Linked DNA regions of Stegostoma tigrinum. The protein of the gene in region 1 interacts with the protein of each later gene in a pairwise test. Links are inferred from orthologs where the notes say so. Each region holds a gene or a part of one and is shown on either strand. Other genes may lie near its edges.

Region 1 (11,479 bases):
CAACCTCACCCCTCACCTGAGCTATGCTAACCCTCAGATTAAATCCAAGATCAGTTGTTTCTCTGTAATGAGAGCGCAGCCCTGTAGCCCTATGGAACTCCGCTGACTTTATCTTGTCTTGGCTAGTTCACTTAAGTTAGCAACGCTTTCATGTCCTCATGGTTTGAAGTCTGGATGAAAAATTTAATTATACTGATTCACTGCTACCTAGGAAGGTCTTTACACTAATGTATTAATTAATCCTGTCACATTACACAACACACAATCCAATATAACCTCTTCTCTACTTGGTTCCAAAGCATGCTATTCTCAAAGAATGCTCTTGAAAGCATTCTTGAATTTCTCATATAGGTTAGTAGTGCCAACCTAATTTTTTTCCTGTTTATATGCAGATTAAAATCAAGCATGATTATTGATATCCTTTTATTACAAGCACCTAAATTTTATTTTTGTACACTGCGTTTTAGTGTGGTTATTGTTAGGAGTCGTCTACAAGCCCCCTATTAACTATTTCCCACCCACCAAACTATTCTTCATATCCACCCAAATTAATTCTACATCCTAACTTGCTGAATGTAGGTCATCTCTAACCATTGCTAATCTGCTATCCTTGTTTAAAATGCTATCTTCTCCATATTTACCTAGCCTCGTATTCTTCTTGAATGTAATATAGCCCACAATATTCAGGACAAAATGATGGTTTATATGTCATATTTATAAATTTCAGTGTGTGCTATCAATTTCTTTTTGATACAAATGCTACATACAAGATAAAGATGGAGGTATCAACCTGATGAAACCACCAACAGGACTACTTGCACACCAGACAGTGAAAGCAGCAAGTGATAGACAGAGCAAAGTGATCCCACAACCAATCGATCAGATCTAAGCTCTGCAGTCGTCCCACATCCAGTCATGAATGGTGCTGGACAATTAAACAACTCATTGGAGGAGGCGGCTCCACAAATTTCCGTATCCTCAATGATGGAAGAGCCGAGCACATCAGTGCAAAAGATAAGGAGCAAAAGAACCATTTGTAGCCATCTTCAGCCAGAAATGCTGAGTGGATGATCCATCTTGGCCTCCTCCAGTGATCCCCAGCATTACAAATATCAGTCTTCAACCAATTCAGTTCACGCCATGTGATATCAAGAAACGGTTACAGACACTGGATACTGCAAAGCCTATGGGCCCTGACGACATTCCAGCAATAGTACTGAAGACCTGTGGCTCCAGAACTTGCCGCTCCCCTAGCCAAGCTGTTCCAATACAGTTACAACACTGATATCTAGCCAACAATGTGGAAAATTGCCCAAGTACGTTCTGCACACAAAACGCAGGACAATTCCAACCTGGCCAGTTACCACCCCATTAGTCTACTCTCATTCACCAGTAAAGTGATGGAAGGTGTCATCAACAGTGCTATCAAGCAGCACCTGCTCAGAAATAACCTGCTCAGTGACACTCAGTTTGAGTTCTGCCGGGGCTACTCAGCTACTGACCTCTTTGCAGCCTTGGTTCAAACATGGACAAAAGAGCTGAATTCCAGAGGTGAGGTGAGAGTGACAGCCCCTGATATCAAGGCTGCATTTGACCAAGTGTGGCATCAAGGAGCTGTAGCGAAACTGGAATCAATGGGTATCAGGGGGCAAACTCTCCAGTGGTTAGAGTCATACCTGACACATAGGAAGATGGTCATGGTTGTTGGAGGTCAATTATCTTAGCTCCAGTACATCTCTGTAGGAGTTACCCAGGGTAATGTCCTCGGTCCAATCATCTTCAGCTGCTTCAATGACTTTCCCTCTATCATAATGTCAGAAATGGGGATGTTCACTAATGATTGCGCAATGTTCAGCACCATTCATGACTTCTCAGATACTGAAGCAGCTCAAATGCAACAAGATCCAGGCATTATCCAGGCTTGGGATGACAAGTGGCAAGTGACATTTGTGCCACACAAATGCCACACTATGACCATCACCAATAAGTGACAATCTTACCACCATCCTTTGATATTCAATGGTGTTACCGTCACTGAATCCCCCACTAGTCAACATCCTGGGGGTTATCAGTGACCGGAAACTCAACTGGACTAACCACATAAACATAGTGGCTACAAGAACAGGCCAGAAGCTAGGAATACTGCAGCAAGTAACTCACTTCCCGATTCCTCAAAACCTGTCCACCATCTACAAGGCACAACTCATGATTGTGATGGAATACTCCCCACTTGCCTGGATGAATGCAACCCCAACAACACTCAAGATGCTTGACACCATCCAGGACAAAGCAGCCTGCTTGACCGCACTACATCCACAAGCATCCACTCCCTCCACCACTGATGCTCAGTAGCAACAGCGTGTACAATCTACAAGATGAACTACATAAATTTATCAAAGATCCTCAGACAGCAACTTCCAAACCCACGACCACTTCCATCTAGAAGAACAAAGTCATCAGACATATGGGAACACCACCACCTCCAAGCCACTCAACATCCTGACTTAGAAAAATATTGCCATTTCTTCACCGTCACTGGGTCAAAATCCTGAAATTACCTCCCTAATAGCATTGTGAATCAACCCATAGCAAGAGGACTGTAGCAGTTCAAGAAGGTAGCTCACCACCACCTTCTCAAAGGAAATTAGGGATGGGCAAGAAATGCTGGCCAGTCAGCGATACCCACATCCCATCAGGGGCGGCACAGTGGTTAGCACTGCTACCTCAGTGCCTGGGAGCTGGGTTCAATTCCACCCTTGGGCAACTGTCTGTGTGGAATTTGCACATTCTTCCCGTGTCTGTGTGGGTTTCCTCTGGGTGCTCCGATTTCCTGCCACAGTCCAAAGATGTGCACGTTAGGTGGTTTGGCCATGCTAGATCACCATAGTGTTCAGGGATGTGTAGCTTAGGTGGATTATAGGGGGATGGGTCTGGGTGGGATGCTCCAAGGTTCGGTTTGGACTTGTTGGGCTGAAGGGCCTGTTTCCACACTGTAGGGATACTACGAAATGAATAGAGAAACAAAATACAATTAGATAGAACCTTTAGTTCTGACTTTTTATAGAACTTTGTAACATCTGTTGAGCCAAACGAATTTCACGAAGATACAAGCAGGCTGTACAGGGTTGATGGGCTATGAGCTTGGAGGCTGGGTGTGTGTGGAATCCCCAGATAAGATGAGATTAATAACCATTGTACAGTTAATAATTCAGCCTGATGTTTCCTGGTGGCACTGTAACCCACGGAAAATAGTTAGTGGTGTCTGGGAGATGGCATTCAGCCTCCACAATATATCAGTCAATAGACCAGACAACAGAAGCACCACCCTTATCAGCAGGAACAATTACAAAGTCAGGGTTGGGTCAAAGAGCGTGCAGTGCAGTCTGTTCAGAGGGATATAGGTTTGACTGGATGGGGGATTGAAGTAAAGGCAGCCAATGTCAGGCAAAAGCTCTCCCAAACAGGTCAAGTGCAAATTGGTAAAAGGCCATAGGAAGGGGTCCAAGTGGAGGCAGCGTATTGGAGGCAGGCCAAGAGATGTCTATTGGTCAGGGAGAGGACTCTTGTCCAAATGAATGGGCATGGAGGCAAAGAGAACAGCAGAAGAATTTAATGTCATGTTGTGCTATTGAAGTAGGGGCACAAAGGGGTAAAACGAAGTCCTTTCCTGAACACAGAACATTCAGAGAACAGAAGGTCAGAATGAATAGTAAATATCTGACAAGAGCTGGGATCAGGAGAAGGCAGCATCTCAGGAGCACAAAAGCTGACGTTTCGGGCCTAGAACCATCAGAGGGTTCTGCAGAACACCTCCGCTCGGTTCGCAATAAACAACTGCACCTCCCAGTCGCAAGCCATTTCCACTCCCCCTCCCATTCTTTAGATGACATGTCCATCCTGGGCCTACTGCAGTGCCACAATGATGCCACCCGAAGGTTGCAGGAACAGCAACTCATATTCCGCTTGGGAACCCTGCAGCCCAATGATATCAATGTGGACTTCACCAGCTTCAAAATCTCCCCCTTTCCCTCTGCATTCCAAAACCAGTCCAGCTCGTCCCCTCCCCCCCACTGCATCCCAAAACCAGCCCAGCTCATCCCCGCCTCCCTAACGCGTTCATCCTCTCACCTATCCGCTCCTCCCACCTCAAGCCGCACCTCCATTTCCCACCTACTAACCTCATCCTGCCTCCTTGACCTGTCCGTCCTCCCCGGGCTATCCCCACCTATCTTCTCCTCTATCCATCTTCGGTCCGCCTCCCCCTCTCCGATGAAGGCTGTAGGCCCGAAACGTCAGCTTTTGTGCTCCTGAGATGTTGCTTGGCCTGCTGTGTTCATCCAGCTTCACACTTTATTATCTTGGATTCTCCAGGATCTGCAGTTCCCATTATCTCTGATCGGGTGAAAGGCCTAATTTAAGTTAAGAGATAACAAGGCGTAGAGCTGGATGAACACAGCAGCCAAATAGCAGAGGAGCAGGAAGACTGACGTGGGCTTAGGTTAATGTAATACAAAAGGGTGCACTGTGAGAGATGTCATCTTTCAAATGAGTGTTTAAACTGATGCTCTGTTGGCCCTCTCAGTTCCAAACAAAAGATCCCATGGCATCATTTCGAAGGGCAAAGCTCTCAGTAATCCTTTCCGACGGTTACCTCTCAACCAACAATTTGCCAATCTGTGGGATCTTGCTATGTACAAAGCATTTTCCATGTTCCCCAGATAACTGCAGCTCCTAAACAAAGAAGTACTAAATTGGCCACCGAAAAATAAGTTTCGAAAAGTTCCGGACTGGTGAGAGGCTTTGTATAATGTACATGTTCTGTCTATCCTAGTTTTCTTTACCATCCTCCCGCAACCCCTCCATACCGTGACAGATATCCTGCTCCGCACCTACTTTCTATAAAGTCCTTGCACTCCTCCTTCAATTCTGTTGTACTTTGCGCCACCTCAGGGTCCAGGACCCTGAGTTTGTTGAGTTCGTCGAAGTGCAGGCCGGCCTCCCCGAGGGACTCCATCGCCATCAGAATCAACAATACCCTCTCGTCCCCTCTGCCGCTGCCACGGCGACAGCGACGGCTCTCTCCGCCCTGCTGCGCATGCGCGGTCACAGGGGGCGGGGCACCCACGGATGTCGCGCGTGCTCAGTATCAAAACTCACTCAGTCTCTCAAGGTAGTGTGGGTTTCTGCAACATTATTTTTGATCTTTCTTACCAGACAGATTCTGGAGAGCTGAAGAACTTTAGTTTGCCGTTTGTCCAGAGTATTGTATACAGAAGGATTTAAAAAGAAATCTCACTGCAACACAAAATAACGGTTGAAGCTAGCGAATCTTCGCTCTTTGTTGTTTTAAATGATCATTTATCGGCGAGCTCCAACCATCGGTGAGATGGCCTGGGCGACTGGACGGCACTTTAACTGAGCCATGAAAGTGCAATCCAGCGGCGGGAAATATATCTGCGCGCGTGCGCACTAAATCGGGAGCCGGCGTGTGGCTAGCGCGCGTGCGCAGTTAGACGAGTACGGACGGGATCGAAGTCACGTGTGAATGCCCTTGCGCCGGAAGAGAAGGAGGAGCGGAGGCGGTTTGAATGGTCGGCACGGCAACTGCTGCAGGTACTGGGCCTACTTCGGGGGTGGGGAGGGTTTTAACGAACGAATAAACAAACTCGCTTTGGACAGTGTTGTCAGAACAAAGTTCAGCAAAGCGGACTGAGCGATTGTCGATAAAGAGATGTCAGTGACCGCCTCAATGGAAGCGAGTTTAGGCTCCTCATGGCAGCTGGAAGAAGTGATCGTAGAGGATGGAACTCCCTCAAACTCGCCCCAAATCTGAGAGCTCTAAGTGAATTGTTTAAGCAGGCTAGGCCATTGGTTTAGGTTGAAGCTGGATATTTCCTAGGTTGCATCGGTTTCATCGAGTTTTCCCCTTTACCTCACCAATACTTTCTAAAAGACCACACTGTATTCGACAACAGAAATTTCTTCTCATGTTGGAAAGACCGAAGGAGCCTTCAGCTTTTGTTGCTTTCAGCCCCTTGGGTATCCATTCCACTCCTCTCCTCAGTAATTGTCTGACATTGAATCTGATCGTTTAAAACCTTTGTTTTGAAGCGAGTTTAGGCTCCTCATGGCAGCTGGAAGAAGTGATCGTAGAGGGTGGAACTCCCTCAAACTCGCCCCAAATTTGAGAGCTCTAAGTGAATTGTTTAAGCAGGCTATGCCATTGGTTTAGGTTGAAGCTGGATATTTCCTAGGTTGCATCGGTTTCATCGAGTTTTCCCCTTTACCTCACCAATACTTTCTAAAAGACCACACTGTATTCGACAACAGAAATTTCTTCTCATGTTGGAAAGACCGAAGGAGCCTTCAGCTTTTGTTGCTTTCAGCCCCTTGGGTATCCATTCCACTCCTCTCCTCAGTAATTGTCTGACATTGAATCTGATCGTTTAAAATCTTTGTATTGAATTTGACTTCAATATGAGTCCCAAACAAAGACTGCCTGTTTCCACCCCTGACTGTGGTTCAGCTCATCTGCTGAAACAAATGCATGTGTTTGCTACCTTTAGACACAGCTATTCCAATGTGTTTCAGCTTCTCGTGATTTACCCTTCAATACATGTATGTGCATCAATCCCCTTCAGTATCAACTCTGCTGACTTATCAACATTGGATCCAGTTAAGTAATACTTACATTTTGAAGTTTTCATCTTTGGTTTCAGATTTTGCCACAGCCTTGTCCCTCCTTATCTGATTTTGTTCTTATTTATTTAGTTTTATTTTATTTATTTTTGTCACATACCGAAACTGAAGAGAAGGTGCAGAGAATGATGAGCTCTAATATATGAGAGGTCCATTCATAAGTCGGATAACAGAAGGGAAGACCCTGTTCTTAAATTAGTTGTTACATGTTTTGAAACTTTTACATCTTCTGTTGATGGAAGAGGTGGGAGGGGTCTTAGATTATGTTGGCAGCTTTTCTGAGGCAGTGGGAATTCTAGAGCGAGTCAATGGAAGGAAAGCTGTTTTATGTGATGGTCTGGGGTCCGTTCACAACTGTGCAATTTCTTGTGGTCTTGGAAAGAGCCATACCAAGCTGTAATATGTAATATAGGATGCTTTCTATGGTGTATCTATAAAAATTGGTAAGAGCCATTGTGGACATGCTGAATTTCATTAACCTTCTGAGGAAGTAGAGGCATTAGAGTGCTTTCTTGACTATAGCATAGATATGAATGGATCAGGACAAGTTGATGATATTTACTTCTAGGATCTTGAAGTTCTCAACCATCTCCATCTCAGCACCATTGATACAGTCAGGGGCGTGTCCTCCACTCTGCTTCCTGAAGTCGATGGCCAGCTGTTTTATTTTGCTGACACAGAGAGAGATTGTTGTCTTTACACCATGCCACTAAACTCTCTATCTCTTTCCTGTGATAATAAGGTGTAGAGCTAGATGAACACAGCAGGCCAAGCAGCATCATCGGAGCAGGAAAGCTGACGTTTCGGGCCTAGACCCTTCAAATTCAGTTTAAGCTTAAATTTGTGAAGTACAAAAGAAACGGTAGTCAGCAGGAGAAGTGAAGCTAGGTTTTTTTTGGGCTTGGAAATGAGTATGTAACGGTTCAGATAAGGCACAGTTGATAAGTGAGAAAAGCATATTTAATGTCCATGCTAACATTGTTTGGCTCAAGATCTGCAGGTTATTCAAATGTAATGAAGCCTAAATTCTCAAAATTGCAAATATTCAGATAATAAAATGACGGTGAGCTGCAAAGAACTAGGTCGGCCCGAAATGTCAGCTTTCCTGCTCCTATGATGCTGCTTGGCCTGCTGTGTTCATCCAGCTGTATACCTTGTTATCTCAGATTCTCCAGCATCTGCAGTTCCTGCTATCTCTATCTCTTTACTGTACTCTGTCTTGTTTTTGTTTGAAATCTGACTGACATTGGTGGTGTCAACATGTAAATGGAGTTAGAGCTGAATTTGGCCACACAGTTGTGTGTGCGTAAGGCGTTTAATAAGAGGCTAAGCCTTGCAGAACAGTGGTGTTGAGTATTATCATCAAGGTCTTGACACCCATCTTCACTGATTGCAGGTCAGGAAGTCAAAGAACCAGTTGCAGTCAAGCGAGCAGAGTCCTAGGTCTCGGAGTTTAGAGATGAGTTTGGTTAAAATTATGGCGTTCAAGGTGGAGTTGAGGCCAATAAATAGTAAGTGTCCTTGTTATCTACATGTTTCAAGGATAAGTGTAGGAACACAAAAACGGCACCTGCAATGAACCTGATGCCACGTGCAATCTCCTCCAGCTTCTCCGACTCCCTGGATGCCTGTAATCTTCAAACTCTGGTCTCTCGGGTTTAGTTCCTCTATTGTTGGTGACTATATCTTACCCAGTCCAAGCCTCATTCCCTCCCTAAAGATTTCTGTTGTGTTATTTGTCTTTCTTCTTTTACTACACTTAAACCTACTGCTTTGACCAAGCTTTTGATCATCTGCCCTCAAATTCTTGTGGCTTGGTATCAGATTTTGTTTCTTGGCTCTGCTGTGAAATAAGTGCTTTGGAACATTTTACTATATTAAAATGGTATGTTATTATAAAGCAAGCATTTAGATTTACTGATTGGCCTTAAAGAAAGAAATCATTTTTAGTTTGAGTACCAAATTGCCTGCTATGGTAGGAAATTATCAAATAGTGAGATGGCTAGAGTAAAATACTTGGCTTTTATTTTGTTTTTGCTTTGTTTTTCTCAAATACAACGCAAATTTCCAAACTGAATTTCCAGTCTACTGTGGTTAGCAATGAACTCGATGTTATCTGTTGAGACACTTAATACTGCATTGATTTGATTTTGTTAATAATATTTCTCCCTCAATTAACTTTGTAACAACATTGACTGACATTCTGCTGAAACTGATCCATGTTGGAATGTATTTCTGCATTCTCAATACTACAATTTCTCCACTGTATTGACAGATTTTTTTCAGCTTAGATTTCATTTGACTTATCACACCTGTGATTTGTTCCATTGTTTGTTATCCTTGTGATACTATTGTCTCTTCAATAAAATATTGGATTTTATTGTTAACCCAACAGGTAGCACATTTTAAAGTACAATTGAAAGTGATGGTATTTCATTGTAGACTAAATGCTTAAATTCTCAAGTTTTGGACTGAAGTTTGAGAATCCTCTCTCATGAACCTACATTATGGAGATGGGTTTGGAAGTCTGCAGAGTATTTATTCTGTTCAAGAATGCAATTCATTTAGTGGGTGGTTTGGTATTTTAACACATTTGATTATGCCAAGAATGTAAAGTACTTTTTCTCATTAGAATTTTAAAACTTGCATACTGTCTTCTAGATAGTTAACATAATTGAATTTTAAGCAGCAGATGAGTGTGTAACTTTCAATTTACTCTTGAATGCTTCACTCCTAGTGCCTACTTGAACTCATTACTTTGGAAGTTTTTAACTTTGAACTTGGCCTGAGTTGTTACTCAGATGCATAATCATAATACAAAAATTAGCACAGCCCTTGGATGGCAATGATAGAGGTGACCAAAAGCTTAGTCAAAAATGTGGCTGAGGAAGGTGATGGGATGAATGGTTTTGCGAACGTGGAGATGAACTGACTGCTAGCAGATTTTCCAGTGCTACGTTCTATGGAGGGGTTGTACATTAATAGTATTTTAATTGAATTGTCAAGATATACAGTGAAACACATTGTTTATTTGTGTACTTGGAGCACTGCTGTCATATGTTTATTTAGTTTAATTTGGTTTGATCAAAATGGTATAGTGACTGCTGAGATACTGGATTTATAGGTCAAAAGCAGACATAACAGAATGCTACGTTTTGCAAATAACATATTATTTCAAAGTATCAGTGTCTAGTTTCATACTTCAGTTGATTTGGGATCTGAGTAAAACTGTAGAGCTGGGGGAGGCAAGAGGCAGGAAATGGGAATGCCGTAAATTCAATATTTGCAATTCCTGTAACTGTCACCAATAGGAGGTACCAAGAGTGGCAGGTATGAAGTGGGCATAATTTTGGACTATCGGGGAGGCAAAGGCAGTTTTCATGCTGCTATTGACATAAGTTCCAGCCAGAACTGATAAAGGCTCAGGTGCTAGAGCTAATAAAAGCGTAAAGGTTTTATCTTTCAGAATTCAAAATCTTGCCACTTGATGCCGTGGAGCTGTCAGGGACATCAGCAAGCACTGTTTGGATCAGGAAAAGGCAATGCAGTGGCTCGAGAATGTTAGGTGCTCTTACAGCACTGCTTCAAGTATAGGTTGCCCAACTCCTACACATGAATTATGACGTATACACAGGTTCCTCCTACAACTTACCCTGTTGTACCTAAGTGGTGTAACTAGCTGCATCTGTGCATGCATGGTGACCATATTGTGTTATGGATAATCACTCCAAAATTCATTGCCAATCATGCAATTTTATGATGTACTCTTTTAAGAAATCTGTGATCATTAATTATCAGAAACGTAAGTCCTCCAGAGCAGAAGAAAATAATTTCTCATCAGTTGTAAATAGCTGACCCCAAATACATCTGCCCCAGGGGACAAATCGACTTAACATCTACACTATCTACTTGAGAAGCTGATATATTTCATTAAATCACCCATCATTTTTTGGAAATTCCAGATGAAAGTTGGATGAACTTAATGCCTGAGGTTCTTTTGCCCACTGTGAACAAAAGAACAAAGAAAATTACACCACAGGAACAGGCCCTTCAGCCCTCCAAGCCTGTGCCGATCCAGATTCTCTATCTAAACCTGTCACCTATTTTCCAAGGATCTGTATCCCTCTGCTCCCTGCCCATTCATGTATCTGAGATAGTAGTTTGATAGAGATACATTCATGTATCTGCCTAGATACCTCTTAAATGATGCTATTGCGCCCACCTCTACCACCTTCACTGGCAATGTGTTCCAGGCACCCACCACCCTCTGCGTAAAGAACTTTCCACACATATGTCCCTTAAACTTTTTCCCTCACACCTTGAAATCATGACCCCTAGTAATTGAGTCCCCCACTCTAGGGAAAAAGCTTCTTGCTATCCACCCTGTCTATACCTCTCATGATTTTGTAGATCTTAATCAGGTCCCCCCTCAACCTCCATCTTTCTAATGTAAGTAATCTTAATTTACTCAACCTCTCTTTATAGCTAGCACCCTCCATACCAGGCAACATCCTGGTGAACCTCCTCTGCACCCTCTCCAAAGCTTCCACATCCTTTTGGTAATGTGACGACCAGAACTGTTCACAGTATTCCAAATGTGGTCGAACCAAAGTCCTATAGAACTGCAATATGACCTGTCACCTCTTATACTCAATAGCCCGTCCGATGAATGAAAGCATGCCGTATGCCGCATTGACCACTCTATCGACCTGCGTTGCCACCTTCAGGGTACAATGGACCTGTACACCCAGATATCTCTATGCATCAGTTTTCCCCAGGG
Region 2 (10,998 bases), on another chromosome or scaffold:
TCTCCGGAAAGCAGACAGGGGTGGGGATGGAAAAATGTCTTGGGTGGTGGGGTCGGATTGTAAATGGCGGAAGTGTCGGAGGATGATGCGTTGTATCCGGAGGTTGGTGGGGTGGTGTGTGAGAACGAGGGGGATCCTCTTAGGGCGGTTGTGGCGGGGGCGGGGTGTGAGGGATGTGTTGCGGGAAATACGGGAGACGCGGTCAAGGACGTTCTCGATCACTGTGGGGGGAAAGTTGCGGTCCTTGAAGAACTTGGACATCTGGGATGTGCGGGAGTGGAACGTCTTATCGTGGGAGCAGATGCGGCGGAGGCGGAAGAATTGGGAATAGGGAATGGAATTTTTGCAGGAGGGTGGGTGGGAGGAGGTGTATTCTAGGTAGCTGTGGGAGTCGGTGGGCTTGAAATGGACATCAGTTACAAGCTGGTTGCCTGAGATGGAGACTGAGAGGTCCAGGAAGGTGAGGGATGTGCTGGAGATGGCCCAGGTGAACTGAAGGTTGGGGTGGAAGGTGTTGGTGAAGTGGATGAACTGTTCGAGCTCCTCTGGGGAGCAAGAGGCGGCGCCGATACAGTCATCAATGTACCGGAGGAAGAGGTGGGGTTTGGGGCCTGTGCAGGTGCGGAAGATGGCCTAACCCTAACCCTATCGCACCTACACAGGCCCCAAACCCCACCTCTTCCTCCGGTACATTGATGACTGTATCGGCGCCACCTCTTGCTCCCCAGAGGAGCTCGAACAGTTCATCCACTTCACCAACACCTCCCACCCCAACCTTCAGTTCACCTGGGCCATCTCCAGCACATCCCTCACCTTCCTGGACCTCTCAGTCTCCATCTCAGGCAACCAGCTTGTAAGTGATGTCCATTTCAAGCCCACCGACTCCCACAGCTACCTAGAATACACCTCCTCCCACCCACCCTCCTGCAAAAATTCCATTCCCTATTCCCAATTTCTCCGCCTCCGCCGCATCTGCTCCCACAATAAGACATTCCACTCCCGCACATCCCAGATGTCCAAGTTCTTCAAGGACCGCAACTTTCCCCCCACAGTGATCGAGAACGCCCTTGACCGCGTCTCCCGTATTTCCCGCAACACATCCCTCACACCCCGCCCCCGCCACAACCGCCCAAAGAGGATCCCCCTCGTTCTCACACACCACCCTACCAACCTCCGGATACAACGCATCATCCTCCAACACTTCCGCCATTTACAATCCGACCCCACCACCCAAGACATTTTTCCATCCCCACCCCTGTCTGCTTTCCGGAGAGACCACTCTCTCCGTGACTCCCTTGTTCGCTCCACACTGCCCTCCAACCCCACCACACCCGGCACCTTCCCCTGCAACCGCAGGAAATGCTACACTTGCCCCCACACCTCCTCCCTCACCCCTATCCCAGGCCCCAAGATGACATTCCACATTAAGCAGAGGTTCACCTGCACATCTGCCAATGTGGTATACTGCATCCACTGTACCCGGTGTGGCTTCCTCTACATTGGGGAAACCAAGCGGAGGCTTGGAGACCGCTTTGCAGAACACCTCCGCTCAGTTCGCAACAAACAACTGCACCTCCCAGTCGCAAACCATTTCCACTCCCCCTCCCATTCTCTGGATGACATGTCCATCATGGGCCTCCTGCACTGCCACAATGATGCCACCCGAAGGTTGCAGGAACAGCAACTCATATTCCGCCTGGGAACCCTGCAGCCTAATGGTATCAATGTGGACTTCACCAGTTTCAAAATCTCCCCTTCCCCTACTACATCCCTAAACCAGCCCAGTTCGTCCCCTCCCCCCACTGCACCACACAACCAGCCCAGCTCTTCCCCCCCACCCACTGCATCCCAAAACCAGTCCAACCTGTCTCTGCCTCCCTAACCGGTTCTTCCTCTCACCCATCCCTTCCTCCCACCCCAAGCCGCACCCCCATCTACCTACTAACCTCATCCCACCTCCTTGACCTGTCCGTCTTCCCTGGACTGACCTATCCCCTCCCTACCTCCCCACCTATACTCTCTCCACCTATCTTCTTTACTCTCCATCTTCAGTCCGCCTCCCCCTCTCTCCCTATTTATTCCAGTTCCCTCTCCCCATCCCCCTCTCTGATGAAGGTTCCAGGCCCGAAACGTCAGCTTTTTGTGCTCCTGAGATGCTGCTTGGCCTGCTGTGTTCATCCAGCCTCACGTTTTATTATTTTGAGATAAGTGGAGTTTTCAGTTGGCAGACTAATTAGTGGAGTGCCCCAGGGATCAGTGCTGACTTGTTAACTACTGTATTTAGAATCTGTATTAATGATAAGGAGACAAGTTGTTTTGTCACAGCTCACCTCCACTTTCTCACAGCTAGAATGGGTAACAAATGTTAGTGATGTCCACATCATTAAATGCACAATGCAGAGTCTGCACAGGGATGCAAATAGATGTAAGAGTGGACAAAAGTTTTCCACTTCAAATACATTGTAGGAAAATGTGAAGATTGGCAGATACAACAGAAAAGCAGAATATGACTTTTATAAGAGTCTGCAGAATACTGCATTAAAGATGGATCAGGGTGTCCTTATACATGAATTGCAAAAAAGCAATTAGCTTGCTGATACAGCAAAACAAATGGAATGTAGCTGTTTTTTGTGGGGAGGAATGGAGTGTTAAAGAAAGGAAGTCTTACTACAACCATACAGGGTATTGCTGAGACTGACCCTGGTGTATAATTATACAGTTAGAGTCTCCTTATTTCAGAAGGGATGTTCTTGCATTGGGAGCAGTTCGGATACTCTTCATTTGGCTGTTTTGGGACAATGCTCATTAGAGTTCGGAAGAATGAAGGGTGATTTTATTGAAATATATTAGATTCTGAAGGGCCTTGATGGGATTGAGATGGTGACTACGGAAATCTTTCATCTCGTGGGGGTATCTAGAACGAGGCAGTACAGTTTAGAGATGAAAAGACTCCCATTTAAGACAGAGATGATGAAGAACTTCTTCTGGATAATTGTTAACATCTGGAATTCTCTTGCCCGGACAGCAGCAGAGACTACACTGTTGAATATATTCAAAACTGAGTTAAACATGTTTTTGGTCAATAATTATTGGAAGGGCAAAAGTACCTTTTATTATTTCCTGAATGCCACAACCAAATCAGCCATGCTCTTTATTGAATTATACAGCAGAGTGGGTGGGCCAAATGGCCTACACCTGCTCCCTCTTTTTATAGTTTTATATTCCTGTGTGGAGTGAAATGACATGGATAGTGGGAGTAGAGAATGGAATCCACATAAGACTAACAAATATAGCCATTGGAAGATCTGGTTTATGTGTGGATCAGAAACAGGGTGAATATCTTTAGTGTATTGGGGTTTCCAAGGATAAACTTGTTTCTGTATTCAAGTCCTTGTGCAATGAAGGCCTCTTCACTGCCTTTTGCACCTGTGCACTTACTTTCAGCAACTGGTGCTCAAGGACATCCAGATCTGTTTTTGATGAAGGGCCTGGGCTCGAAACATCAGCCTTCCTGCTCTGCTGATGCTGCTTGGCCTGCTGTGTTCATCCAGCTCTACACCTTGTTATCTCGGGTTCTCCAGCATCTGCAGTTCCCATAATTTCTATTCCAGATCTCACTGATCATTCTCCCTGTCTCACACTTACTGTCATTCACATAATAATCTGCCTTCCGGTCCTATCAAATTGGATAACCTCACATTCATCTACATTAAACTATATCTGCCTTGCATTTGCCTACTCATTCAGCTTGTCCCAATCACATTGCAACATCTATGCATCCTCCTCACAGTTCATCCTACCATCCAGCTTTGTAGCATCTGCAAATTTTGAGATATTACATCTAGTTCCCTCATCTAAATCATTAACATGTCCATGAACAGCTGAGGTGCTGGGTGGAAGTGGATAGGGGGCATCAAGCAAGAATTGGGAGATGGCCTCTAAATGCGGGGGGAAAAGAAGCTGTAGGGATGCAGCTGCATTGTGGCAATGTCACTGTGCTTGTAATGCAGAACCCCAGGCTAATGCTTTGGGGAATTCAATAAAAAGTAGCCTCATACAAATCATGTCACCGCTGTTTTTTGTTCTTAGAAACCCATCTGGTTCACTAATGTCCTTTAAGAAAGGAAATTTGCTATCCTGCCACCCTGTCTGGCCTACATGTGACTCCAGACCCACAACAGAGTGGAAGACCCTTAATGTTAGAGGAAATGGTAGAGGTGGGCGCAATACAATCTAGAAAAGACATTTGGACAGGTACATTTTTACGAAAGCTGTAGAGGGATACGAACCAAATGCAGACAAGTTGGACTAGTTCAGTTTAGGAAACTTGGTCGATGTGGACGAGTTGGACTGAAATAACAAAGTGTGGAGCTGGATGAACACAACAGGCCAAGCAGCATCTTAGGAGCACAAAAGCTGATGTTTCGGGCCTGGACCCTTCATCGGAAAAGGGGGAGGGGGAGAGGGTTCTGAAATGAATAGGGAGAGAGGGGGAAGCAGATTGAAGATGGATAGAGGAGAAGATAGGTGGAGAGGAGACAGACAAGTTAAAGGGACGGGGATGGAGCCTGTAGAGGTGAGTATAGGTGGGGAGGTAGGGAGGGGATAGGTCAGTCCGGGGAGGACGGACAGGCCAAGGAGATGGGATGAGGTTAGTAGGTAGGAAATGGAGGTGTGGCTTGAGGTGGGAGGAGGGGATAGGTGTGAGGAAGAACGGGTTAGGGAGGCAGGGACAAGCTGGGCTGGTTTTGGGATGCAGTGGAGGGAGGGGAGGTTTTGAAGCTTGTGAAGTCCACATTGATACCATTGGGCTACAAGGTTTCCGAGCGGAATATGAGGTGCTGTTCCTGCAACCTTCGGGTGGCATCGTTGTGGCACTGCAAGAGACCCAGGATGGACATCTCATCTAAGGAATGGGAGGGGAATTTGAAATGGTTCACGATTGGGAGGTGCAGTTGTTTATTGTGAACTGAGCGTAAGTGTTCTGCAAAGCGATCCCCAAGCCTCCGCTTGGTTTCCCCGATGTAGAGGAGGCCACAACGGGTACAGCGGATGCAGTGGAGAGATAATGGGAACTGTAGATGCTGGAGAATCTGAGATAACAAAGTGTGGAGCTGGATGAACACAGCAGGCCAAGCAGCATCTTAGGAGCACAATAGCTGTCGTTTCAGGCCTAGATCCTTAGCCCAAAATGCCAGCTTTTGTGCTGCTAAGATGCTGCTTGGCCTGCTGTGTTCATCCGCTCCACACTTTGCTAGCAGCGGATGCAGTACACCACATTGGCAGATGTGCAGGTGAACATCTGCTTGATGTGGAAAGTCTTCTTTGGGCCTGGGATGGGGGTGAGGGAGGAGGTGTGGGGGCAAGTGTAGCACTTCCTGCGGTTGCAGGGGAAAGTGCCGGGTGTGGTGGGGTTGGAGGGGAGTGTGGAGCAGACAAGGGAGTCCCGAAGAGAGTGGTCTCTCCAGAAAGTAGAGGGAGAGTCTGTTTCCACACTGTGTTCTCTGAAATGGCCCAAGCAAACCAATCAATTCAACTGGCAGTTAGGGATCAACAATAAATGCTCAATAAATTAACAACTAAAAGAAAATAAATGGCAGGAGAAATTGACTTGCGAAAGGAATTGTGGAACAGTAGTGTAACAGAGACAATGAAGGTGTAACTGTGCCAGCATTGAGCTGAAGGCTTTGTTCCTCAATGGGAGTTCCATTTCGGTCAATCCTGATGTGCTTCTCAGGATGTCTGTCTGTCTGGCTTAGCTATCTGTGCTTACAATACAGACTCTGTTCTTCCTCTTGGTCACAGATTAAAGCTCCATAAACTTTCCCTGGGGCCCCCTTCATCATGAAAGTACTGGCCAAGGCTGAAGTGTGATGCTGGAAATCGAACCTTGGCTTTTTCAATCACACCCCTAAGATTTAATCAGCTTCCAGTAAATGTAGCATGTGGAGATTTCAAAACAAACATAAGAACAGCAGAAGGAGTTTGTCATCCTTTAAATAGAAATCAGACAAGGGTCACAGAACCTGCTGAGACAGCAAGGTCCATTGGTGCCTCCATTTTAAAATTCTCATTCTGCTTTCAAATCCCTCAGCGGCCTTACCTGCTCTGCAACTTCCCCATGTCCTACCAATCTGGGAGGCTTCTGTGCCCCTTCCCTCTTCTGCTGTTTGTTTTAATTTACCCCATCTCTGGTAGGGTTCTGATCTTTACCGGGGGACAGCATGCTTCATCTGCGCTGTTCAAACCCTAAACTCTGGAATTACTTCCCAGAATCTCCTCACTTCAGACATTAAATACACTAACATCGGCATATCCTGAAGCACAGCTTTGTCTGTTGATGTTAGGGGCACTGGATAGTGTTAGCAAGGGGGAGGAGTGAAATGTGACAGGGGCAGAGGGGGAGGGAAGGGGTCGGGGGGGGGGGGGGTGAAGAGAGAAGGATTGGGGGGAGCATTTGCAGGAGGAAAAAGAGAGAGAGAGACAGCAGAGAGATCGGAGCGGGGTGAGTGTTGTGGGTAGAGGGCAGGAGATCAGAAAGAGGGGGGAAGAGGATTAAGGCAGAAGGGGGTACTTACCGTGGATTGGGACAGCCTTATGGGAGGAGTTCAGGTTTTCCGAGAATAAAAAGGGTTTTTGGCAGCGAAGCAATATTTTACATTCCGGAGGCTGAGATTAATTAGCTCCAGATGTGAGTCCCCGAGAGAGAGAAAGCAGGGAGTGAAAAATAGAGAGGGAGGGAGGGAGGAAAATCTTCGGAAAGGCAGCAGGAGAGAGAGAAAAAGAGACGGTGACAGAGAAAAAAACCCAGGCAAAGAACGAAGCAGAGTGTGGGAAAAGAGAGGGAGAGAAGTTTCAGGGAGCATTGAATGAAATAATCGACACAGGATCGAAAGGAACGTTTCCCAAGTTTGGAGAAGTTTCTCAGGAAGTGGCTGGAATCCCGGGAGGGATCCAGGCGCTGGTTGATCCCGGTTGATCCAGAATCCCTGTCGAGACTAGAGTTTGGTGAGCGCCTGCGAGCATGGCCAGGGCTCTCTGTCAGTTTCTCTACCTCCTGTCGATCCTGGTGCGGGCTGCGGCGGTCAGTTATCCCCAAAGATACCCCCTGTACTCGGCAGTCTCCGCGGAACACAGCAGCCAGGCGGAGCCCGGAGTGAGGGCAACCAGCAGGCACAGGTAAGGGAGAGGAGGAGAGAGAGGGCAGGGGTGGGGGTGAGGGGGAAAGGGTGAGTGTGTGGGGGTAGAGGAGAGGGAGAGAGAGGAATGGGAGGGGAAGGGAAGAGGTGAGTTGGGAACAGGGAAGAGGGAGAGAATGGAAGGAAGAGAGGGAGGGAAGAAGGGGAGAGGAAAGTGTGAGGTAGGGAGAGAAAGGAATTGGAAAGGGAGAAATGGAGAAAGAAGTAGGGGAGATGAAAGGGGGAGAGAGGGGAGTGAAAGATAGAGAAGTGAGATGGAGGAAGAGGGAGAGGAGGCTGAGAGAGAGTCAGGAGAACAGATTGAAGGGAGTGGGGAACAAAGGTGGATAGAGATGGAGAGAGAGAGGGAGAGGGAGATTGCGAGGAGGAGAAGAGAGGGAGGGGAGTGAGAGACACTGAGTGAGAAGTGTGGGAGGAAAAGAGAAAGGGAGAGTGGGTGGGGGCAAAGGAAGAGAGGTGGGTAAGGGGGAAGAGAGAGTGAGAGGTGAAATGGGGAAAGGGGACAGAAAGTGGGGGAGGAGGAGGAGAGAGGGAGAAGGAGGATTGGGGAATGGCTAGAGGGAGAGGGAGAAAGCAAGAAAGTCAAACAGAAATGGAGAGAGGGAGGGAGTGAGGGAAGAGAACAGGGGAGGAGGGATGTGGGAAAGGGGTGTGGTGATGAGGAGAGGGAGAGAAGGACAGAGAGGAAGGAGTAGAGACAGGGGAAAGGGTGAAAGAGTGAATTGAGGAGATGGAGGGAAGAGGGGTTCAAGCTGGAATATTGAATAGCTGGAATATTGATAGCTGGAATATTGAATTTCCAGAATGATGTGGGTTGTAGGGAGAAGTCGTATGAGTCTTTTTTCAGCGTCAGAGCAACTCCCAACTGGTTCTAGACATTGCGATAAGATTTTGTCTAGCAAGTGGTGAAATGCCTATTACCAGGAATTACTGTTCAGTATCTGTCTCATTAACACCAAATTTCACCTCATTAATATGCAACTCCCTTTTCTACCACATGGCAGATAGCAGCCAGACATCAAGGATTCCTGACATGAAATTCTGAGTGGCTACTGGGCAACCCCCATCCCAACGAGTGCTCCTCTGGCCATCCACCAGCTTCACACACACCCCAAGCCCACAGACACTGGCCACTATCATGGCAAATCTTGATCCACATGTAGTATAGTTCTGTAAATACTGCCCTGGAACCTCTCATTGAAAAGATGCTGCATTGTCACAGAGACAGGCATCAGCTCGTGGATCTCAGAGTTCTCTGAATAGTCACTTACTCATGTCTACTTCAATGCACAAAGCGTCTTTGCCTTGCCCTGCCCCACTCTCCCTTGACCTACCTTAACCGTGCCCTCTTTGTCCTGAGATCCTGAGCTTCTAGTTGCCTGCCATTTCCACACACCACTGCGTTCCCTGTCCAACTTCTTTGTCTAGTGCTTGCTGAAGTACTTCAACAAAGATCAGTGCAAGCCAGAAGAACAGCACTCCGTTTTCCACTTGGGAACGCTACAGCCTCAGGACTCAGTATTGAGTTCAACAACTTTAGGAACTGAACACCTTCCCCATACTTTCCCCACCCCAACACCCAAGGCTTTGATCTGCGATTATACATGACCCATTGTTAGCCACTAATATTCCCCATTAGCAGATATTCATTCTCCCAGACAGACTGTTATCTACTCCTTTGTCTGTTCAACTGTTCTTCTCTCTTTGGGCTCTATCCCCACCTATCGTTTACTCCCATTGAACTTTGTGGGAAGCGAGCAAAGTGATTGCTGGTCCCCTTACTGAGATTCTTGTATCATTTATAGCCACAGGTGAGGTACCGGAAGACTGAAGGTTGGCTAGCAGGGTACTATATATTTAAGTAAGCTGGTAAGGAAAATCCAGGAAACTGTAGACTGATAAGCCTGTCCTCAGTGGTGTGCAAGTTGTTGGAGGAGATCCTGAGGGATAGGCGTTATATGTATTCGAAAAGGCAAGGACTGGTTAGAGATAGCTGACATGGCTTTGTGTGTGGGAAGTTATGTCTCACTAACTTGATTGAGTTTTTTGAAGAAGTGACGAAGAGGATTGGTGAAGGCAGAGTGGTGGACATTGTCCTTACGTTTTCAGCAAGGTGTTTGACAAGATTCCTTATGGCAAATTGGTTAGCAAGGAGAGATCACATGGAATTCAGGGAGAGCTAGATTGTAAATTGGGAGAGGGGAGTGCGCAGCAGGACCTGGGTGTCCTTGTGCACCAGTCACATGCAGGCGCAGCAGGTGGTAAAGAAGGCAAATGGTATGTTGGGCTTCATTGCGAGAGGTTTTGAGTACAGGAGCAGGGATGTGTTGTTGCAGTTGTACAGGGCCTTGGTGAGACCACACCAAGAATATTATGTGCAGCTTTGGTCTCCCTTTTGCTCTCGAGGGAGTGCAGCAAAGGTTTACCGGGTTGATTCCGGGGATGGTGGGACTGACATATGAGGAGATATTGACTACGTTGGGATTGTTTTTGAGAGAGTTCAGACAAATGAGGAGGAGGGCGGGGTCTCATGGAGACTAACGGGACTGGACAGGGTAGATGCAGGGGGGGGGGATGTTCCCGATGGTGGCTGTGTCCAGAACCATGGGTCACAGTCTGAGGATTTGGAGGAGACCATTTAGGATGGAGATGAGGAGACATTTTTTCACCCAAAGAGTGGTGAGTCTGTGGAATTCATCACCACAGGAGGCAGTTGATGCCAAAATATTGAATGTATTCCAGAGGTGTCTAGATAGAGCACTTAGGGGTGAACGGGATCAAAGGTTATGGGGAGAAAGCAGGGTTACAGTATTGAATTGGACAATCAGCCATGACCGTGATGAATGGAGGAGCAGGCTCAAAGGGCCAAAAGACCTTCTCCTTTTCCTATCTTCCATGTTTCTATGTATTTGGATTCAAAATTGACTTGATGGTAGGAGATAGAGGGTTGTTTTTCAGACTGGAGACTTGTGACCAGTGGTGTTCCATGGGGATTGTCCTGGCTCCACTGCTTTTTATCATTTATATAAATGATTAGGGTGTGAACACAGGAGAAGTGGCATGTAAGCTTTCAGATGACACCAAAATTGGAGGTGTAGTGGACAGCGAAGAAGGTTACCTCAGAGTGCAATGGGACCTTGATTCGATGGGCCAAGGGTTGGCAGATGGAATTTGATTTCGATAAATGTGAGATGTTGCATTTTGGTTGCATTTTATCTGTGAATAGCCTCTGTCAATCAACTTTTGCAAGTTTTTGCCTAATACCGTCAAAATTGGCCTTACTCCAATTTAGAACTTTCACTTTTAGATTGGTCTATCGTTTTCCATAATTAACTTAAAACTAATAGATTTATGATTACTGGCCCGAAAATACTCCCTACTGACCCCTCAGTCACTTGCCCTGCCTTATTTCCCAAGGGTAGGTCAAGTCGTGCTCCTTCTCCAGTAAGTTCTTCCACATACTGAATCAGAAAATTTTCTTGTACAGATTTAACAAATTCCACTCCATCCAAACCCTTAACACCACTGCAGTCTAAGTCTGTGTTTGGAAAGTTAAAAGCCCCTACCGTTACAGTCCTATTATTCTTACAGATAATTGAGATGTCCTTATAAGTTTGTTCCTCGATTTCCCGCTGACTATTGTGTGTGGGGGGGTGGGGGGGGGGAGGTAATGAGGAATCTATAGTGAAATCCCAATAAGATAATCCTCTCTTTCTTTTTTCTCAGTCGCATCCAAATACTGGTCATAGTCCCAGGAACATCCTCCCTAAGTATTACTGTAATGTTATCCCTAACCAAA
Region 3 (10,899 bases), on another chromosome or scaffold:
TGATTGACTGTACGCGGATGACTAGGCGCAAGCTAATGCGAACGGTGACACTAGATGATAGCAGACAAGCCCCAGTCCCTAGCTAGAGTCGCACCCCAAACTTACTGACGCAGGAAGAGAGGACACGAAGCCTTTAGAAAAAGAGCTTTTACTGTCTCAGTCCGAAGACACAAAATGGGCACAACTCGTCTGTATTTATACATTAGGAATGACCTCCACCAATCAAAAGCGGAGTAGCGTACTTAAGCGTCCATCAGCCAATGAGAAGCGAGCTTATCAATAGGTGGCCTTTTTGGCCGGGAAAGCAACATGACAGAAACGGCGTGAAAAACTCGAAACCCAAACCTTAGAAAAAGAAAACCGTCTACAGTGAGTAAACGACACAGATCTTGGGGATGGAAACATCCCCAACAGTTAACTTGAGGTTGAGTCCATGATTAAGAAAGCGAGTGTAATGTTGTCATTTATCTCAAGAGGGTTGGAATATAAAAGCAGCGACGTGCTTCTGAGACTTTATAAAGCTCTAGTTAGACCCCATTTAGAATACTGTGTCCAATTTTGGGCCCCACACCTCAGGAAGGACATACTAGCCCTGGAGCATGTCCAGCGGAGATTCACACGGATGATCCCTGGAATGGTAGGTTAACGTATGATGAACGGCTAAGGATCCTGGGATTGTACTCATTAGAGTTTAGAAGGTTGAGGGGAGATCTAATAGCAACTTACAAGATAATGTATGGCTTAGAAGGGATGGACGCTAGGAAGTTGTTTCCGTTAGGCAGGGAGAATAGGACCCGTGGGCACAGCCTTAAAATTAGAGGGGGTAAATTTAAAACTCAAATGAGATGGCATTTCTTCAGCCAGAGTGTGGCGGGCTTGTGGAATTCATTGCCACGGAGTGCAGTGGAGGCCGGGACGTTGGATGCCTTCAATGCAGAGATCGACTAATTCTTGATCTCACAAGGAATCAAGGGCTATGGGGAGAGTGCAGGGAAGTGGAGTTGAAATGTCCATCAGCCATGATTTAAATGGCGGAGTGGGCTTGATGGGCCGAATGGCCATACTTCCACTCCTTTTGTCTTATGGTCTTAACATTTTTCTGTACTATATTGCATTACCTGACAGCGTATCCTCCTGAACTCTATTATTAGCCACTTCATTGTTCATTGCAATTGAACAAAGAAAGTTACAGCACAGGAACAGACCCTTCGGCCCTCCAAGCCTGCGCTGATCCAGATCCTCTATCTAAACTTGTCACCTATTTTTTAAGGATCTATATCCCTCTGTTCCCTGCTCATTCATGTATCTGTCTAAATACATCTTAAATGATGCTATCGTGCCCGCCTCTACCACCTCCGCTGGCAGTGCATTCCAGGTACCCACCGCTCCCTGCATAAAGAACTTTTCAAGCATATCTCCCTTAAACTTTTCCCCTCTCACCTTGAAATCATGACCCCTAGTAATTCAGCCTCCCACTCTGAGGGAAAAAGCTTCTTGCTATCCACCTTGTCTATATCTCTCATGATTTTGTAGACCTCAATCAGGTCCCCCCTCAACCTCCGTCTTTCTAATGTAAATAATCCCAATCTACTCAACATCTCTTCATAGCTAGAGCCCGCCATACCAAGCAACATCCTGGTGTACCTCCTCTGCACCCTCTCCAAAGCATCCACATCCTTTCGGTAATGTGGCAACCAGAACTGTACACAGTATTCCAAATCTGATTGAACCAAAGTCCTATACAACTGTAACATGACCTACCAACTCTTGTACTCATTACCCTGTCCGATGAATGAAAGCATGCCATATGCCTTCTTGACCACTCTATCCACCTGCATTGCCACCTTCAGGGTACAATGGAACTGAACACCCAGATGTGCATCAATTTTCCTCATTTATCGTATAGTTTGCTCTTGAATTGGATCTTCCAAAATACATCATTTCGCATTTGCCTGGATTGAACTCCATCTGCCACTTCTTCGCCCAACCCTCCAATCTATCTATATTCTACTGCATTCTCTCACAACCCCCTTCACTATCTGCTATTCCACCAATCTTAGTGTCATCTGCAAACTTGCTAATCAGACCATCTATACCTTCCTCCAGATCATTTATGTATATCACAAACAACAGCGGTCCCAACACCGATCCTTGTGGAACACCACTGGTCACAGTTCTCCATTTTGAGAAACTCCCTTCTACTGCTACTCTCTGTCTCCTGTTGCCCAGCCAGTTGTTTTTGCATCTAGCTAGTACACCCTGGACCCCATGCAACTTCACTTTCTCCATCAGCCTGCCATGGGGAACCTTGAGTTTTGTTTTATCTGCAAAATATGAAATTATACTCTGTATTCCCAGGTGCTGGCCATGAATATGTATCAAAAAAGCAGTGAGCCCAACACCCATCCTTGGGGAACACCAGAGTATACTCAGCCTACATCCTGTGAATAAATAAAAAAACAACTTGCTCCCAGTCTAAGAAACACCCACTCACTGCATTTATCTACTTTCTGAGTTTTAGCCAGTTTCTTGTCCGTGCTGCTAATATTTCTTTAAAGCACTGGCTACAATCTTGTTAACAAGACAATGATGTGCTACTTTATCTAGGGTCAAATATCGCTGATTACTGGTACTCAGTGTCAGCTTATGCTTACTGTGTTTTTAATGATTCACACAGCTGGTCATGATGTTTGTGCTATGGTTTAGTCATTAATCCCCAAAGGTTCTGTAATCTTGTTTATGGGTGGCAGCAGACTAGTAGATTTAGTAAGCGGTGGAGAACATAGATTTACTTAGCATTAGATGGGTGTTAAAGTTTGATTACTGAGCTGTACATTTTCATTAAGAGAGCTCAATGTATTGTATGCTCTGTCAGAGTGCAGTTTTGTTTTATGGAGCATGAGGAATTGGAGTTCAGCAACTCAAATTGATTGACAGGGATCAGAGGGAACGGTTCTGCTAATCTGACTGTAAAATAAACAGATTTAATTGAGTGTCTGATTTCTGCAAGTGACCACATCACCCTGGTCTCACCTTCTCAAATAAATCATGACCTGTAAAGTTCACCTTGCCCTTTGTCAGTGTTTCACTAAGTTTATCAAGTCACATCAGGTAGACAGGAGGTTACTGTGTGAATGGGTAAAGGCCAACCAGCATCCTGCTCCTTATCAGTATTCAGTGAATTCTGGGTGAGAGAGAGAAGGGAAATCAGGCAGAGATCCTGCTCCTGATCACTGGCCAGTGACCCCAGCTGTGGAATTTAGATTGGAACTATAATATTGGTTTAATAATGACTTGGCAACATGCTTAGCATCTCTCTCTGTATTTTATCTCCATATTCCTGTCTTCCTGTGATATCACGTTGGAGCTCTGCACAACTTGTCAGAGTAAACTAACTCCTGTCCCTCACTGGTGTTACGGACAGTATTGGTTTACCTGGAGCTCAGTGCTTCTGGGAATCGTTTGCATTTTGTTGCTTCCAGTGGCAAAGGAGAAATATTTGTTTTCTTAATCTGCTCACATTTAACAATATTGTTAAAATGACTGGCAGTTTGGAATTACGAACTCTTGTCATGTTCCAAGCCAAAGACTCTCAATTTGAACACTAAGAATTTGGCTTTTCTCAAAATAAATAACTCCAAAACAAACCAAAGCTGATCCCCAAAACCCAGTTTTCTCAACTACTTGATCATCTCACCAATATCCCAATTCTATAAATCTGATTTTATAAAACACAGATTGCCATTTTGCCCATTTTTTATGAAAAACGAGAACTCTACATTTCTGACGGTGAGGGCTCCCTCAGGAATTAGGAGCCGAACTTCCATTCATAGTTGTGAACTTTCAGGGAAAGGCAGACAATGCTCCATTTTCACAGCATTCAGTGGCTGTATTCTTAAAAGATCCAGCATCACAGACAGCCATTTTGACAGCTGCAGTCAAGTGATATTTGTGAGGATAGAGTGCCAGGGGGTTATAGGGTAGGATGTTGGAGGACGGGATGCAAGGTGGCAAGGAGACCAAGTAAGTGATGCAGGTTTAGAGTGGTTTGGGGTGGGTGAGAGAAATCTGGTCTGACAGATTAATCAGGTCTGAAGTGGGGTGGAGCATCAGGTCAGAGACTGGGATTGTAACGGGTCTGAAGAGATAAGTATGGAGTCGAATAAATAGTTAGGAGTAATACTATACGTTTGATAGTCTAACTTTTCCTGAGTAATTATTTACTTATTTTCATTGGAACCCTTTGAACTCTCTAATTTAAATGGATACTTTCAAACAGTTCCTGCATCAGGGAGTTGCCCAGCGGAATCTCCAATTTCCAGCGTAATTCTTTCAGAATCTGCCACAGTGGGAATTCCATAGGGTCCCCACGTGCAACTCCCAAATACACGGGAATCACAATTATGTCTGCCTTCATAAAATGTGGCCCCCTCCTTAAGTCATAAATTTACATGGGCTCTAAATAAAGCAGTCACCAGAAATTGGCATCCCCATCAGACCCTGGACCAATGAACACTGAGTCAGCCTGCACACAATCATCAAACTTTATGTAAAAACTCTTAAAATTGTTTAGATCAGAAATTATTATGGTATTTATTCCTAGGACAAATAATTAGAATTAATAATTACTATAGAATCACTAGAGGACTTTGATATTTGTGTACAATAAACTGAAATTTGTTAACATATTGAAGATTCATTAAATTCTGCAATTTATAACCAAGACATATTGAGTACAGTACATACACAGACTATACTTAGTGTATAAGCAGTTGTGTACATGATGTGTATGCGGGATACATGGAGGCAGAATGTGTGCTTTAGACAGAATATGTGTAGTATATACACAATATGTACGATCTCTGAGTAGTGTATTTGATTATACTAACTATTTCATGCATACAGAATCTACAATATTTATATGGGGCAGAACATATATAAGGACTTAGCTTCAGATTGCGAGATTCTAATTTTGACTAAAACTGATAAACTGTTAATCATCCAATCCTATATAAGCCTTTTAAAAGTTGAGTGAAAAATTGTAGATGTCTTTCTCTGAGTAAACAAATAAAGTGCGTAATCAAACTATCCTGACATCTGTTTCTTTCATCATCAAAACTCAAATCTAAGACTGTCAAACATCACATTCAACACAGTAATGATCATTCACTGTATAACTAAGGGTCACTATTTATTCAGGGTAAGGGTCACTTGCTGTGTAACTATAGAGTCAGTGTTTATTCAGAAGGATAAGGGTTACTTACTATTGGAATGCAAATTTGAAGACTAATGCCTTATCTTCTGCCCAGGCACCCTACAGCCTGGAGGACTCAACATTAAGTTCTCTAATTTCAAATAACCTTCCCACCCATCCTCTGGCTCCTGTTCCAGCTCCACCACCTTCCTTCCATTCCACCTTGTGACCCTTCCTTCTAGCCACCAACCGAATTCATCCCTCCCATCGATCAATGAGTCGTACCTTTCACCAGTGTCCCCACCATTCCGCACTTCCCCTTTATCTGCCAATTCCCTTACCCCAAATCCAGTCCTGAAGGGGAATTAATTACTCCTTGCCTCCAGATGTTGCATAGCCTGCTGTGTTCTTCCAGCTCCCTGTTTATCTATCAGTACCCCTTAGTTCTAGATTCTCCTACAAGACGAATTATCTCCTCATCCAACCCATCAAGACCATTGATATATATTTCACTCAAATTAGCTTTAACTCTTCCAGACTCCAGGAGATACATGACGAACCTATACACCCTTCCAAGTAAGGCATCTATTGCATTCCCAATCTACATTAACCTAAAATATCTGAATTGCTTCCCTCCAAATTTCACAGCTTTGCAATCTGTCACTCTTACATTTTTCTCAAAATTGACAATTTTCCATTTTCCATACATTATTCTCCATTTCCCAGATCTCTATCCAGCCACTAACTTGTAACAATATGTTATCCATATCATCCCTACAGTGTCAAACAGGCCCTTCGGCCCAACAAGTCCACACTGACCACGAGAGCATCCCATCCCCATATAACTCACACTTCCCTCCACACTATGGGCGATTTAGGATGGCCAAATCACCTCGCCTGCACATCCCTGGAGGCTGACACGGGGAGAATGTGCAAACTCCACACAGACAGTTACCCGAGGCTGGAATTGGACCTGGGTTCTTGGCGCTGTGAGGCTGCAGGGCTGGCCCATGAGCCCATTGGGCCCAGCCCTGACCCTTGTGGCACATCGCTGTTACAGGCCTCACTCTCCTCGACCACCCCGTGTCTCCGACCTTCCAGCTAGTTCTGACGCGGTGGGAGGGGGGGCATTCGTTTCCCAGCAACGGCCTTGGTGATCCCTGACCCCGCCCCACTTCCGGTGCACGGAGAGAAATACGCATGTGCGCCGCCATTTGCTCAAGGAGCCTCTGAGGACTGTCGAAACAAGGTTTGAAACTAAATTTCCGTTAAACTTCAAAGCGCCATTTCTGTAATACAGCCTGTAATATGTTATACAACTGTTAAAGTACACCAGAGATAAGATTTTACAACACTCATTGGGATGGTCTGTCACTATAACACCGGGGAACAATGCTGGGGGGGACAGGTCTGTCACTGTATAGCACTGGGGTACAGTACAGGTGGGGACAGGTCTGTCACTGTATAACACTGGGGTACAGTACAGGTGGGGATGGGTCTGACACTGTATAACACTGGGGTACAGTACTGGTGGGGACAGGTCTGACACTGTATAACACTGGGGTACAGTACCGGTGGGGACAGGTCTGTCTCTGTATAACACTGGGGTACAGTACCGGTGGGGATGGGTCTGACACTGTATAACACTGGGGTACAGTACTGGTGGGGATGGGTCTGTCTCTGTATAACACTGGGGTACAGTACCGGTGGGGACAGGTCTGTCTCTGTATAACACTGGGGTACAGTACAGGTGGGGATGGGTCTGACACTGTATAACACTGGGGTACAGTACTGGTGGGGGACAGGTCTGTCGCTGTATAGCACTGGGATACAGTACCGGTGGGGACAGGTCTGACACTGTATAACACTGGGGTACAGTACTGGTGGGGGACAGGTCTGTCGCTGTATAACACTGGGGTACAGTACCGGTGGGGACAGGTCTGTCACTGTATAACACTGGGGTACAGTACCGGTGGGGACAGGTCTGACACTGTATAACACTGGGGTACAGTACTGGTGGGGGACAGGTCTGTCGCTGTATAACACTGGGATACAGTACCGGTGGGGACAGGTCTGTCACTGTGTAACACTGGGGTACAGTACTGGGGGGGACAGGTCTGTCACTGTATAACACTGGGGTACAATACTGGTGGGGACAGGTCTGTCTCTGTATAAACTGGGGTACAGTACCAGTGGGGACAGGTCTGTCTCTGTATAACACTGGGATTCAGTACCGGTGGGGATCAGGTCTGTCACTGTATAACACTGGGGTACAGTGCTGGTGGGGACAGGTTTGTTACTGTATAACACTGGGGTACAGTACTGGTGGGGGGCAGGTCTGTCACTGTATAACACTGGGGTACAGTACTGGTGGGGGGCAGGTCTGTCCCTGTATAACACTGGTGTACAGTACTGGGGGACAGATCTGTCCCTGTATAACACTGGGGGACAGATCTGTCCCTGTATAACACTGGGGTACAGTACCTGTGGGGACAGGTCTGTCACTGTATGACAGTGGGGTACAGTACCAGTGGGGGATGGGTCTGTCACTGTAACACTGGGGTACAGTACTTGTGGGGATGGGTCTGTCTCTGTATAACACTGGTGTACAGTACCGGTGGGGGACAGGTCGGTCACTGTATAACACTGGGGTACAGTACAGGTTGGGACAGGTCTGTCTCTGTATAACACTGGGGTACAGTACTGGTGGGGGGACAGGTCTGACACTGTATAACACTGGGGTACAGTACCGGTGGGGGACAGGTTTGTTGCTGTATAACACTGGGGTACAGTACTGGTGGGGACAGGTCTGTCCCTGTATAACAGTGGGGTACAGTACTGGGGGGGGACAGGTCTGTCTTTATATAACACTGGGGTACAGTACTGGGGGACAGATCTGTCCCTGTATAACACTGGGGTACAGTACCTGTGGGGACAGGTCTGTCACGGTATGACACTGGGGTACAGTACCGGTGGGGGATGGGTCTGTCACTGTATAACACTGGGGTGCAGTACTGGTGGGGGGCAGGTCTGTCACTGTATAACACTGGGGGACATTACCGGTGGGGGACAGGTCTGTCTCTGTATAACACTGGGTTACAGTACAGGTGGGGGACAGGTCTGTTGTTGTATAACGCTGGAGTCCAGTACTGGTGGGGGACAGGTCTGTCACTGTATAACTCTGGGGTACAGTACCGGTGAGGGACAGGTCTGTCACTGTATAACACTGGGGCACAGTGCTGGTGGGGCACGGGTCTGTCTCTGTGGAACACTGGGGTACAGTGCTGGTGGGGCACCGGTCTGTCACTGTACAACACTGGGGTACAGTACTGGTGGGAGATCGACCTGTCTCTGTATAACACTGGGGCACCGTACCGGTGGGGATGGGTCTGTCCCTGTTTAACAGTGGGGTACAGTACCAGTTGGGACAGGTCGGACTCTGTGTAACACTGGGGTACAGTACCAGTGGGGACAGATCTGTCCCTGTATAAACTGGTGTACAGTATCGGTGGGGACAGGTCTGTCACTGTATAACACTGGGGTACAGTACCGGTGGGGACAGGACAGTCCCTGTATAACACTGGGGTACAGTAGCGGTGGGGTGAGGCCTGTCACTGTATAACACTGGGGTACAGTACCGGTGGGGACAGGTCTGTCACTGTATAACACTGGGGTACAGTACCGGTGGGGACCGGTCTGTCACTGTATAACACTGGGGTACAGTACCGGTGGGGACAGGCCTGTCACTGTATAACACTGGGGTACAGTACCGGTGGGGACAGGTCAGTCCCTGTATAACACTGGGATACAGTACCAGTGGGGACAGGTCTGTCACTGTATAACACTGGGGTACAGTACCGGTGGGGACAGGTCAGTCCCTGTATAACACTGGGATACAGTACCAGTGGGGACAGGTCTGTCACTGTATAACACTGGGGTACAGTACCGGTGGGGACAGGTCTGTCACTGTATGACAGTGGGGTACAGTACCGGTGGGGGATGGGTCTGTCACTGTGTAACACTGGGGTACAGTACTTGTGGGGATGGGTCTGTCTCTGTATAACACTGGTGTACAGTACCGGTGGGGGACAGGTCGGTCACTGTATAACACTGGGGTACAGTACAGGTTGGGACAGATCTGTCTCTGTATAACACTGGGGTACAGTACAGGTGGGGGACAGGTCTGTTGTTGTATAACGCTGGGGTACAGTACCGGTTGGGGCAGGCCTGTCACTGTATAACACTGGGGTACAGTACCGGTGTGGGCAGGCCTGTCACTGTAAAACACTGGGGTACAGTACCGGTGGGGGCAGGCCTGTCACTGTATAACACTGGGGTACAGTACCGGTGGGGACAGGTCTGTCTCTGTATAACACTGGGGTACAGTACTGGTGGGGGACAGGTCTGACACTGTATAACACTGGGGTACAGTACCGGTGGGGGACAGGTTTGTTGCTGTATAACAGTGGAGTACAGTACCGGTGGGGACAGGTCTGTCCCTGTATAACACTGGGGTACAGTACTGGGGGGGACAGGTCTGTCATTACATAACACTGGGGTACAGTACTGGTGGGGGGCAGGTCTGTCCCTGTATAACACTGGGGTATAGTACTGGTGGGGGGCAGGTCTGTCCCTGTATAACACTGGGGTACAGTACTGGTGGGGGGGCAGGTCTGTCACTGTATAACACCAGGGTACAATACCGGTGGGGGACAGGTCTGTTGTTGTATAACACTGGGGTACAGTACAGGTGGGGGACAGGTCTGTTGTTGTATAACACTGGGGTACAGTACCGGTGGGGACAGGTCTGTCACTGTATAACACTGGGGTACAGTACTGGTGGGGACAGGTCTGTCACTGTATAACACTGGGGTACAGTACTGGTGGGGACAGGTTTGTCGCTGTATAACACTGGGGTTCAGTACCGGTGGGGACAGGTCTGTTGCTGTATAACACGGGGGGCATGGGTATGTCTCTGTATAACACTGGGGTACAGTGCCGGTGGGGACAGGTCTGTCCCTGTATAACACTGGGGTACAGTACTGGGGGGGACAGGTCTGTCTCTGTATAACACTGGTGTACAGTACCGGTGGGGACAGGTCTGTCTCTGTATAACACTGGGGTACAGTGCCGGTAAGGACAGGTCTGTCTCTGTATAATACTGGGGTTCAGTACCAGCGGGGATCAGGTCTGTCACTGTGTAACACTGGGCTACAGTGCTGGTGGGGACAGGTCTGTCACTGTATAACACTGGTGTATAGTACCGGTGGGGGACAGGTCTGTCACTGTATAACACTGGGGTACAGTACCGGTGAGGGACAGGTCTGTCACTGTATACCACTGGGGCACAGTGCTGGTGGGGCACGGGTCTGTCACTGTGGAACACTGGGGTACAGTACCGGTGAGGGACAGGTCTGTCACTGTATAAAACTGGGGCACAGTGCTGGTGGGGCACGGGTCTGTCACTGTACAACACTGGGGTACAGTACTGGTGGGGGATCGACCTGTCTCTGTATAACACTGGGGCACCGTACCGGTGGGGATGGGTCTGTCCCTGTTTAACACTGGGGTACAGTACCGGTGGGGACAAGTCTGTCACTGTATAACACTGGGGTACAGTCCCAGTGGGGTCAGCTCTGTTTCTATATCACACTGAGGTACAGTACTGGTGAGGACATATCCATGTCTGTGGAACTCTGGGGTAC

The links.
Region 2: the proteins of ift20 (region 1) and EMILIN-1-A-like interact in binary tests that used the Homo sapiens proteins (3 or more experiments, as listed by UniProt). The two-hybrid records come from large-scale screens. The link is inferred for Stegostoma tigrinum from reciprocal best matches to the Homo sapiens genes IFT20 and EMILIN1.
Region 3: the proteins of ift20 (region 1) and kxd1 interact in binary tests that used the Homo sapiens proteins (3 or more experiments, as listed by UniProt). The two-hybrid records come from large-scale screens. The link is inferred for Stegostoma tigrinum from reciprocal best matches to the Homo sapiens genes IFT20 and KXD1.

Annotation. Positions count from the first base shown.
Region 1 is NC_081380.1:36,805,462-36,816,940, reverse strand, and holds the start of ift20 (intraflagellar transport protein 20 homolog), read right to left. Parts: upstream 5,164-11,479; 5' UTR 5,021-5,163; coding exon 4,894-5,020; intron 1-4,893. UniProt on the Homo sapiens protein: Part of intraflagellar transport (IFT) particles involved in ciliary process assembly. May play a role in the trafficking of ciliary membrane proteins from the Golgi complex to the cilium.
Region 2 is NC_081362.1:99,069,680-99,080,677, forward strand, and holds the start of EMILIN-1-A-like, read left to right. Parts: upstream 1-6,478; 5' UTR 6,479-7,024; coding exon 7,025-7,179; intron 7,180-10,998. UniProt on the Homo sapiens protein: Involved in elastic and collagen fibers formation. It is required for EFEMP2 deposition into the extracellular matrix, and collagen network assembly and cross-linking via protein-lysine 6-oxidase/LOX activity.
Region 3 is NC_081383.1:537,732-548,630, forward strand, and holds the start of kxd1 (kxDL motif-containing protein 1), read left to right. Parts: upstream 1-6,379; 5' UTR 6,380-6,443; intron 6,444-10,899.